Alligator mississippiensis: one gene and its partner. The protein of the gene in region 1 purifies or fractionates together with the protein of each later gene. This does not show direct contact. Links are inferred from orthologs where the notes say so. Each region holds a gene or a part of one and is shown on either strand. Other genes may lie near its edges.

The links. Proteins that work in one complex are often made in the same cells at the same time.
Region 2: the proteins of DDX24 (region 1) and NIFK purify together in Homo sapiens (affinity purification with mass spectrometry; 3 studies listed by BioGRID and IntAct, counting the BioPlex papers as one, with this or other methods). This does not show direct contact. The link is inferred for Alligator mississippiensis from reciprocal best matches to the Homo sapiens genes DDX24 and NIFK.

What each region holds. Positions count from the first base shown.
Region 1 is NC_081825.1:277,182,360-277,186,105, forward strand, and holds the start of DDX24 (ATP-dependent RNA helicase DDX24), read right to left. Parts: upstream 2,843-3,746; 5' UTR 2,756-2,842; intron 2,611-2,755; exon of another isoform or gene 2,517-2,610; intron 2,021-2,516; 5' UTR 1,933-2,020; coding exon 1,915-1,932; intron 1,061-1,914; coding exon 358-1,060; intron 1-357. UniProt on the Homo sapiens protein: ATP-dependent RNA helicase that plays a role in various aspects of RNA metabolism including pre-mRNA splicing and is thereby involved in different biological processes such as cell cycle regulation or innate immunity.
Region 2 is NC_081827.1:247,264,536-247,268,281, reverse strand, and holds the start of NIFK (MKI67 FHA domain-interacting nucleolar phosphoprotein), read right to left. Parts: upstream 2,833-3,746; 5' UTR 2,774-2,832; coding exon 2,654-2,773; intron 2,553-2,653; coding exon 2,424-2,552; intron 733-2,423; coding exon 624-732; intron 1-623. Other genes in the region: TSN (translin), read left to right, coding at 3,366-3,431, 3,719-3,746.

The sequences.
Region 1 (3,746 bases):
TGCAAAGCCAGCAAAGGAGCCTCAGGCTCTGACAGATCTCTGATTTTGAGGTAATGGGAGCTCTGACCTAGTTTTAAAAAAGTGCATCAAATATAATTTGATTCCCCAGACAAAATTATGTGGAGGATTTAAAGCTTTGTACATGTGAATGTCCTAGTATGCAAAACAAATGCAGTATATTTCATCTGTAAAGTAAAATCTTCTGTATTGCAGCCATTCCCTTCCTAGTTCACTGGATGGACTGTAACTTACAGGTTCTTATCCTGTGATTACAATTATGACAATACACTGCATTTTTGAGAGAGAGAGAAAGGTGACAGTGAATGTACTTAATGTTCTAGCTGTGTGCATTTGTACCTGTTTCTGCAGCGCCCAGAATATCCATATGATCTCGAATTGCAGAAGGCAGAGCTAATGCCTGAATAGGAGTTGGAGCACTAAATCCGAGAGAACTCAAGGCCTGAAGAACTGGTTTTGGAACAAAGAGGTCTTTCCATGCAGACACATCAGCTGTTTGATCAGATGATGCAGATAAAACCTGAGTTGTCCAATTTGTAAGCTTCTTAGAAGATTTTGCTGGGGGAGGATCTTGCTGGGGTAGAGATGCTTTCTTTTTTTTCTTCTTCAAAGTTTTTTCTGTGCTTAAAGCAGCTTCAGCTTTGTTTTCATTTTCCTCAGAATCAGTCAATGTGACGGTATCTTTAGGTTCATCTTCTTGATCAGTGAGTACGTCATTTCTCTCCTCAGAATGATCATTTTTATTTGTTCTAGTTCCCAAACCTTTGCCTTTCTTTCTCTTTTTTTTTTGGATGGTAGAATCCTCTTCTTCGGAGACACTATCAGATTTTCTCTTCTTGCCTTTTTCTTTTCCAGATTTAGAGGAATTCATTAACTTATAATCTGTAAGCTCCTCAAAGCACACCAGATCTCCAAGCTGCTCATCAGCAAATAGATTTGGGTCGATTTCGACAGGTTTCCATTTTCCTACTACTTTGATACCCCTTTGTTTTGATTTAAAGGAAGCTCTAAACTTATTTCCCTTTTTTGTCTTCATCATGATCTAAAACAATTGAAAAAGAAATCATTGTAAAAATCAGCAGAACAAGGTATCTAGATTCATATAACATATAGCATAAACACTGCACTGCAGATGGTGCATAATGCCATCTATGTGTAAAGCTAATGGGACACAAGTCTTAACTAGAGTTTTCTCTGAAGTTTAGTCTATGGGCTTGGTCCTGCTCCCACTGACTAGGCCCTCTTTGTTTTGAATCTGCACATTTAAGAACAACTGCGACTCCAAACGCACGCATGCAATTTGACAAACAATCTTTAATTACTCATTTATCAGCCTCTTGCTGAAAATGACACTGGAAACCTCTGCAGTAAAGAAACCCTGATGACAAACCATCGCATAGCTCTGTTGTGCGTTTTGTTAACCATGACCCTTTAGCACTTTGTGCTGAAAGGTCTTTTGGCGGGAGCATGGGAAGGAAACCTTGGATTTACAGCTTTATACTGGGCTCTTATGTGGGCTCTGTACACTCTCCAATGGCCAGTCCAATCCCCTTACTCTGCTTCATCTCCTGCTCTGCTGTCTTCTTCCTGCCCTATCTGCCGTGGTGTTATCTGTCCCCTCTCTGATCTGTCATGGCCCACACAGAGGCTGCCTATGCCAACTGTAGCACTGGAGCTCCAGGCTGGCTAATGCTAAACACACTGGCCAGCTCAACTCCCAAAATGACATATGTAACATGGTGAAAGAATAGCCAGGAGACATGCACAAATAAAAACAGGGCAGTACACATGCCCATGAAAAGCAGTGATTTGCTGCATCAATCTGCAGCAATTAAGCATTAAACATGGAGGAAGGGACCAAGAAAGAAATTACTACTCAAAATGGTAACTGGGTACATGCTCTTTACAACTCATCTCCCACTGACTGCAATGAGATGGACGAGTCTTCAGCCAGGTTGAAAGTTACTGTTAGCACTGGTATCCAAGTTGTAGGTGCATTGGTCTAAAGGAAAAAGCAATTAGGACTTGTAATAGAGATGATATCTTTTAGGAGACCAACAAAAAAATCTGAGCTTCCACAGAAGAGACCTAAGTAACCAGGCAAGGCCGACTCTAAACCAGCAGCTTTTTAAGCTCCAGTTTCCCCTCCTTACACTCATCCCCTTGGTAACCGCCAGCTCTCAGTTTTGCAGTGTTGCCAACTCTCATGATTGTTGTTGTTCTTAAAGTCTACGCTTTGGGAATGTGAAAAACTCATCTCTTTCACACACACTATACAAATCATACACAAATATAGATAAAAGAAAGAGCTAAATTTTTCACATTCCCAAAGCGTAAACTCATAAGAGTTGACAACAGTGGTTTCGACTTGGTTTTTTCTAGTATGCAAAGCTAACAGACCCAATCTTCTGCCACAAAAAACACAAACTAACAACGTAGTGAACACTCCGCTTCCTGCGGCAGTCTCTGCGCTTGTTCTGCGAACCACGTTTGCAAACCTTAGAGCTGCTCTCAGGGGCACCTCGAGAGGCCGCCGCGGGCCAGGCTGCTCGGGGCCGCTGGTGCCAAGCGGCTGCGGCCGGGCCCTGCGCCCCCCGCCTGGCCCAGGCTCCGGTACCTCCGCCTGCGCTCGCAGCCGCCCGCCCGCCCCGCTGTCCTGCCCTCGGAGCGGGACCCCGCGCCTTCCCTGGCCCAGCCGCCGGGCCGGGCCTCCCCTCTTCCCGCGCCCTGCGCTCACCGCTGCCTCCGCCGGCGCCTACCACGTGGCCGCAGGGCTGGAGGCTGCCATCACTGTCGTGACATCACATCCGGCCTCGGGGTGAGAGGGACCGGAAGCTTGACGGGGGGGCGGTGGGGGGTTCGGGCCGTGCTCGTGCGGTCGGCGTTGTCCCTCGCGCGGTAATGACTGTCTTTGTATCATCTTTTCAACCCGTGCACGATAGTTAATATTAAAAGGTGTCGAAACTCATGGAAGAGGTGATATCGTTTATTAGATCAACTAGCTCTTTGCAAACAAACGACTGCATTTATCTGCAAGCTTTCGGGCACGCTCACCCGTTCCCATGCACAGGGCAGGAGAGAGCAGAGAGTGGCGAAGTTCTAGGTAGAAATGGAAATTCATATTTCTCAGGAGAGCTGAAGGTGTGGTGGAGTCTCCTGCTTGGAAAAGTTCACCTTGTACAGGCGATGCACAGGGAAAAGTTGAAACAGTCTTTTCACCTCAAAGCTGCCTGGTGCAAGCTGGATGTAGAGGCATGTTTGCTTCAGGTTATGTGTTTGATAGTTCACAGGAGAATGGAAAGCTCTTCTAGGCAGGAGTTTAAGTGGCGAGGTATTAGTGTTCCTGTGCTCTGGGAGACGCAAATTTGCTCGAACAATGGTAGGAGCCTCCTGTTAAAAATTCAGGTGATAAAATGCATCCTACTTGTAAAATTATGAACTTTTCATTAAAAAAAATAAATGATGAAGGGTGGGTGTGCCCAAAAGCTTTCAGATAAATACAATACTTTGTTTGCAAGTGTCTAGTTGGTCTGATAAAAATATAACTTCCCAAGCTTCAGTTCCTTTTGCCTCTAGACCAATATGACTACAACCTGCATGTCGGATAACTTTTGAGGCGATTAATTGATGCAGCATATGCAAAACCCAAGTCGCTCTCAGACTCTTAACCAACTTTCAGGTTTGGTTTTGTTTTTTGCAAAAATGCTGAGAGAGAGAGAGAGAAACAG
Region 2 (3,746 bases), on another chromosome or scaffold:
CTCAGTAATTGTTATCCACCCACTACGCACCAGCATTACGTCAGCCTAGCAAAAGGTAACCTCCCTTAGTCATTTTTACGGATAGCCACGACGTGGAGCGGCAGGGGATTCAGAGCACTGGGCTCTCCAAGACAGCCTGATTTTCACCTGTACTTCTTACTGTTTTCAAGAACGGTATGTGCTTAGCTCAGTATCTCTGAATATCTTGCCAGCTGTACTGAGTTTTTAACCCACCCACCCATAGTAAATCTATGTAATTAAATAATAGTGGTTGCAGCAGAGCATGGGTAGAAAAGAGTTTCTATCCAAAAAAACATTTCTATGTGGAGTGGTTTTATACCATGAAAGACAACAGAGGTCCCATCACTAGGACTTGAAATGCTGTTCTAATTTTTTTAATTTAAATTGGAAAGTGGTAGGAAATAAAAGAGCACCAGAGGCACCCCCATGCGGGAGAAATCCTCATAAAAAAACCAAGCAAACTGGGGCGTCCATATGAAAAATCTTCTTGTGCTGCAACTCTAATGTTGCAGTGAAGAAATTCCCAAAGCGTCCAGAAAAAACACCCGTGTGTGCAACGAATACGTTCCCTCACACAACAGGTATCGGATATACATACTCACACTTCAGAAGCCTTTCGCAGAAGAGGTAGTTGTTCATGGTATCTGCCACAATCTTAGCAACGTCATCGGACTCGAACTCTACAAATGCGTAGCCTTTACAGCTTCCAGTCTGCAGACGACAACAACAGTATCAGAAAACTAGAGGAGTGTTTAAGTGCCAGATGCCAAAACAACTCTAGCTGCTGCCTTAGGCTTCAAGGGGTCACGTTCTGTTCTCAGAGAAACAAAAACAACTCCAAGCCCTCAGCATAAATTGTACGTGTTTTAGGTCAGTCTCTAACGCCACAAGTAACAAATATGTTCACGTTACGCAGTAAAATAGAAGAGTTGAGTCATGTATCTGTGACCAACTAAAATTCATGCCACCAAGTGAAGAGCTGTTGCCTTGCTGATGACGTAAAGAATGAAAACACAAGCATCTGTAGAAACGCGGCTCATTAAATGCAAGCAAAGCAGTCAGAAAGCTCAGAGATCCCATCGCTCAACCATGCTCTAAGTCTTGCAGTGAATTCTGACCGCTCTGATAACGTCCCTCAGTGAAGTGAATCTGGTTGCGAAGAAAGGTGCCAGTTATGAGACCGGAAGAGCAGAGACGAGAATGAACTTCAGAGAAAACATAGAAAAGGCTAACACTGAACAGAACGGTCACGTCCAACCGGGGAAACTTATGACGGTAAAAGCAGAGAAGGAGAGACAAGAAGCCAACTAGCCACGACTGAAAGAAACCTGGGGGTAATAAAAGACCACAGCATGAACAGGAGCCGGCAGTGCGATGCTGGAGCCCATACGGCAAATAACACCCAGGTGTGCGTCAATATAACACCCAGGTGTGCGTCAATCGATGCATCTCCAGCAAAGCCAAGGAGGCGATTCTTCCACTCTATTCGGCCCTGGTGAGACGCAGCTGGAGGACTGCGTCCAGGTGTGGGCACTGCAATTCAACAGGGACATGGAAAAGCTTGAGAGGGTCCAGAGAAGGGCTGCCCGTATGATCAGACTTGCACGGCAAGCCATACGAGGAAAGGCTGAGGGACTTGGGCCTCTTCAGCCTCAAAAGAAGGCTGGGAGGAGGCTTGGTAGCAGCTTACCACTGCATCAGGGGAGTATATCACGGGCTCAACAAACAACTGTTCACCAGGCACCCTCGGGGGAAAACCAGGAGTAATGGCCACAAAATCCTGGACGATTGATTCAGGCTTAACAGTAGGAAAAACTTCTTCACATTTGGGATGTCCAGACTGTGGATAAGCTCCCTCCAGAGATGGTGCAATCGCCTGCCCTGGACATCTCCAAGAGGAGACTGGACGGTCACCTTGCTGGGATCTCCTGATCCATTATCTTTCCTGCCTGGTGCAGGGGGCTGGACCCGATGCTCTTGCAAAGTCCCTTCCAGCCATAAGATCTATGAACCTAGCCAGCGAGCTACGGCAGCAACAGAGAACACAATCGTAGGACAGGAGCGCCACGAGGGACCTCAGGAGGTCACATCTAGTTCAGCGTTCGCTCGCCCGTAGGTCACGACCCAAAAGCGAGTTGCAAGAATATATGATTGCGAGCCAGCTTCTAAAGGAGAGTCCATTTTTAAGGGGAAAAACCATGGGAAACCATGGGTTTTCGCCTGCAGCCGGGCAGAGTCCGAGACTGCCCCGCGCGCTGGGGGCAGCGGGTCCTGGTAGAGAACGGGTTAAGGCCTGACCGCTGCCCAAAGCACGTCCTCCCACCCGGGGGCTTTGCGCGGCGCGATGCCACCAAACGGCAGAGCAACGCAAAACCTTTTTTTCCACCTTTTTTTGGTTTTACCTTTTTGCTCCTGGCCAAGCGCAGCCTGGTGACCGTCCCGAACTGGCTGAAGTACTCGCGCAGCTGCGGCTCGTAGAGACCCTTCGGGATGTGCCCCAAATACACCACGCCCGGGGTCAGCCTCTCGTGCTGCGGGGACAAGGCCGGGCACGTCAGCAGCAGGCCCCGCCGAGGGAGGCCCCGCAGCCTCCCTCCTCCCCCTGCGGCCGCTGTCCCCGCGAGGCGCTCACCTTGGCGGCGCGGACGCGCTGCACCTTGGCCTGGAACTGGCGCTGCAGCTGCGGGTCCAGCGAGAGCAGCGCGGCCGGAGCCGCCGCCGCTTCCCCGCCGGCCGCCACCTCCGCCTCCATGCTGCTCCCGCACGTGCGCACGGTGCGCTCCGCACCACTTCCGCTTCCGGGTTCGTCGCCGGAAGTACCGCACTCCACTTCTGGCCACGCCCCCCAAGCTACAAGAGCCGCGGTAACGGTTGTCCGATGACGTCATTGCCAGGCGCGGGGGTGGGGCACCTGGTTGCCAGGCAACAGGCAGCGCGCGTAGTGTTGCTGGGTAACGAGCCTCTTCCCCCCCGCCCCTTTGAGTGTTTGGTGGGTTTTTTTAAGTCAGGCAGCGCGCGGGGCAGCCCTGCGCCGCGGAAGGACCCCGCTGGGCGGAGGGCCCCTGAGCGCGGAAGGACCCGGCGTGCCCGTGCCGCGCCTGCCTGGGAGCCGTGTCGCCGGCAGCCCCAGCTCCAGCGCCGCCGGGGGCGCGGTGTCATCAGGCGGACCCTGCTGGGGCGCTGCCGCGTCAGAGCCGCCCTGAGCCGAGCGCCGCCCGCTGCCGGGGCCAAGATGGCGGCGCCGGCAGCGGCCAGGGCAGCCCCGCGCCGCGGCCGCCGAAGGACCCCGCAGCGGCGGCGCCAGACGAGTCCGGCTCCTTGTCTTCGCGCGCGCCGCCATAGCCATGTCGGTCAGCGAGATGTTCATCGCCCTGCAGGGCTCCCTCAGCGTCGACCAGGACGTCCGCGAGGTCGGGAGGGCGGGGAGCCCGGATACGGGGGGGGGGGGGGGTATTCCTGGGTAGGGGGGTGTGGGGGGAGGGGCTCTTTGAGGGGGTTTGTGATTGGCTCTGTGAGGGGTTGTGGGGGGGAGGGGCTGGTTGTGAGGGGGGTTGGGGAGGGGCTCAGGGGGGTTGGAGGAGGGGCTGGTTGTGAGGGGGAGGGGCTCAGGGGGGTTGGAGGAGGGGCCGTGTTTGGGGTCCCTGGGCGCCGCACCGCCTCCCCTCCCCCGTGACGCGCTGGCGGCGGGCGCCCGCAGGAGATCCGGAAGGTGGTGCAGACGCTGG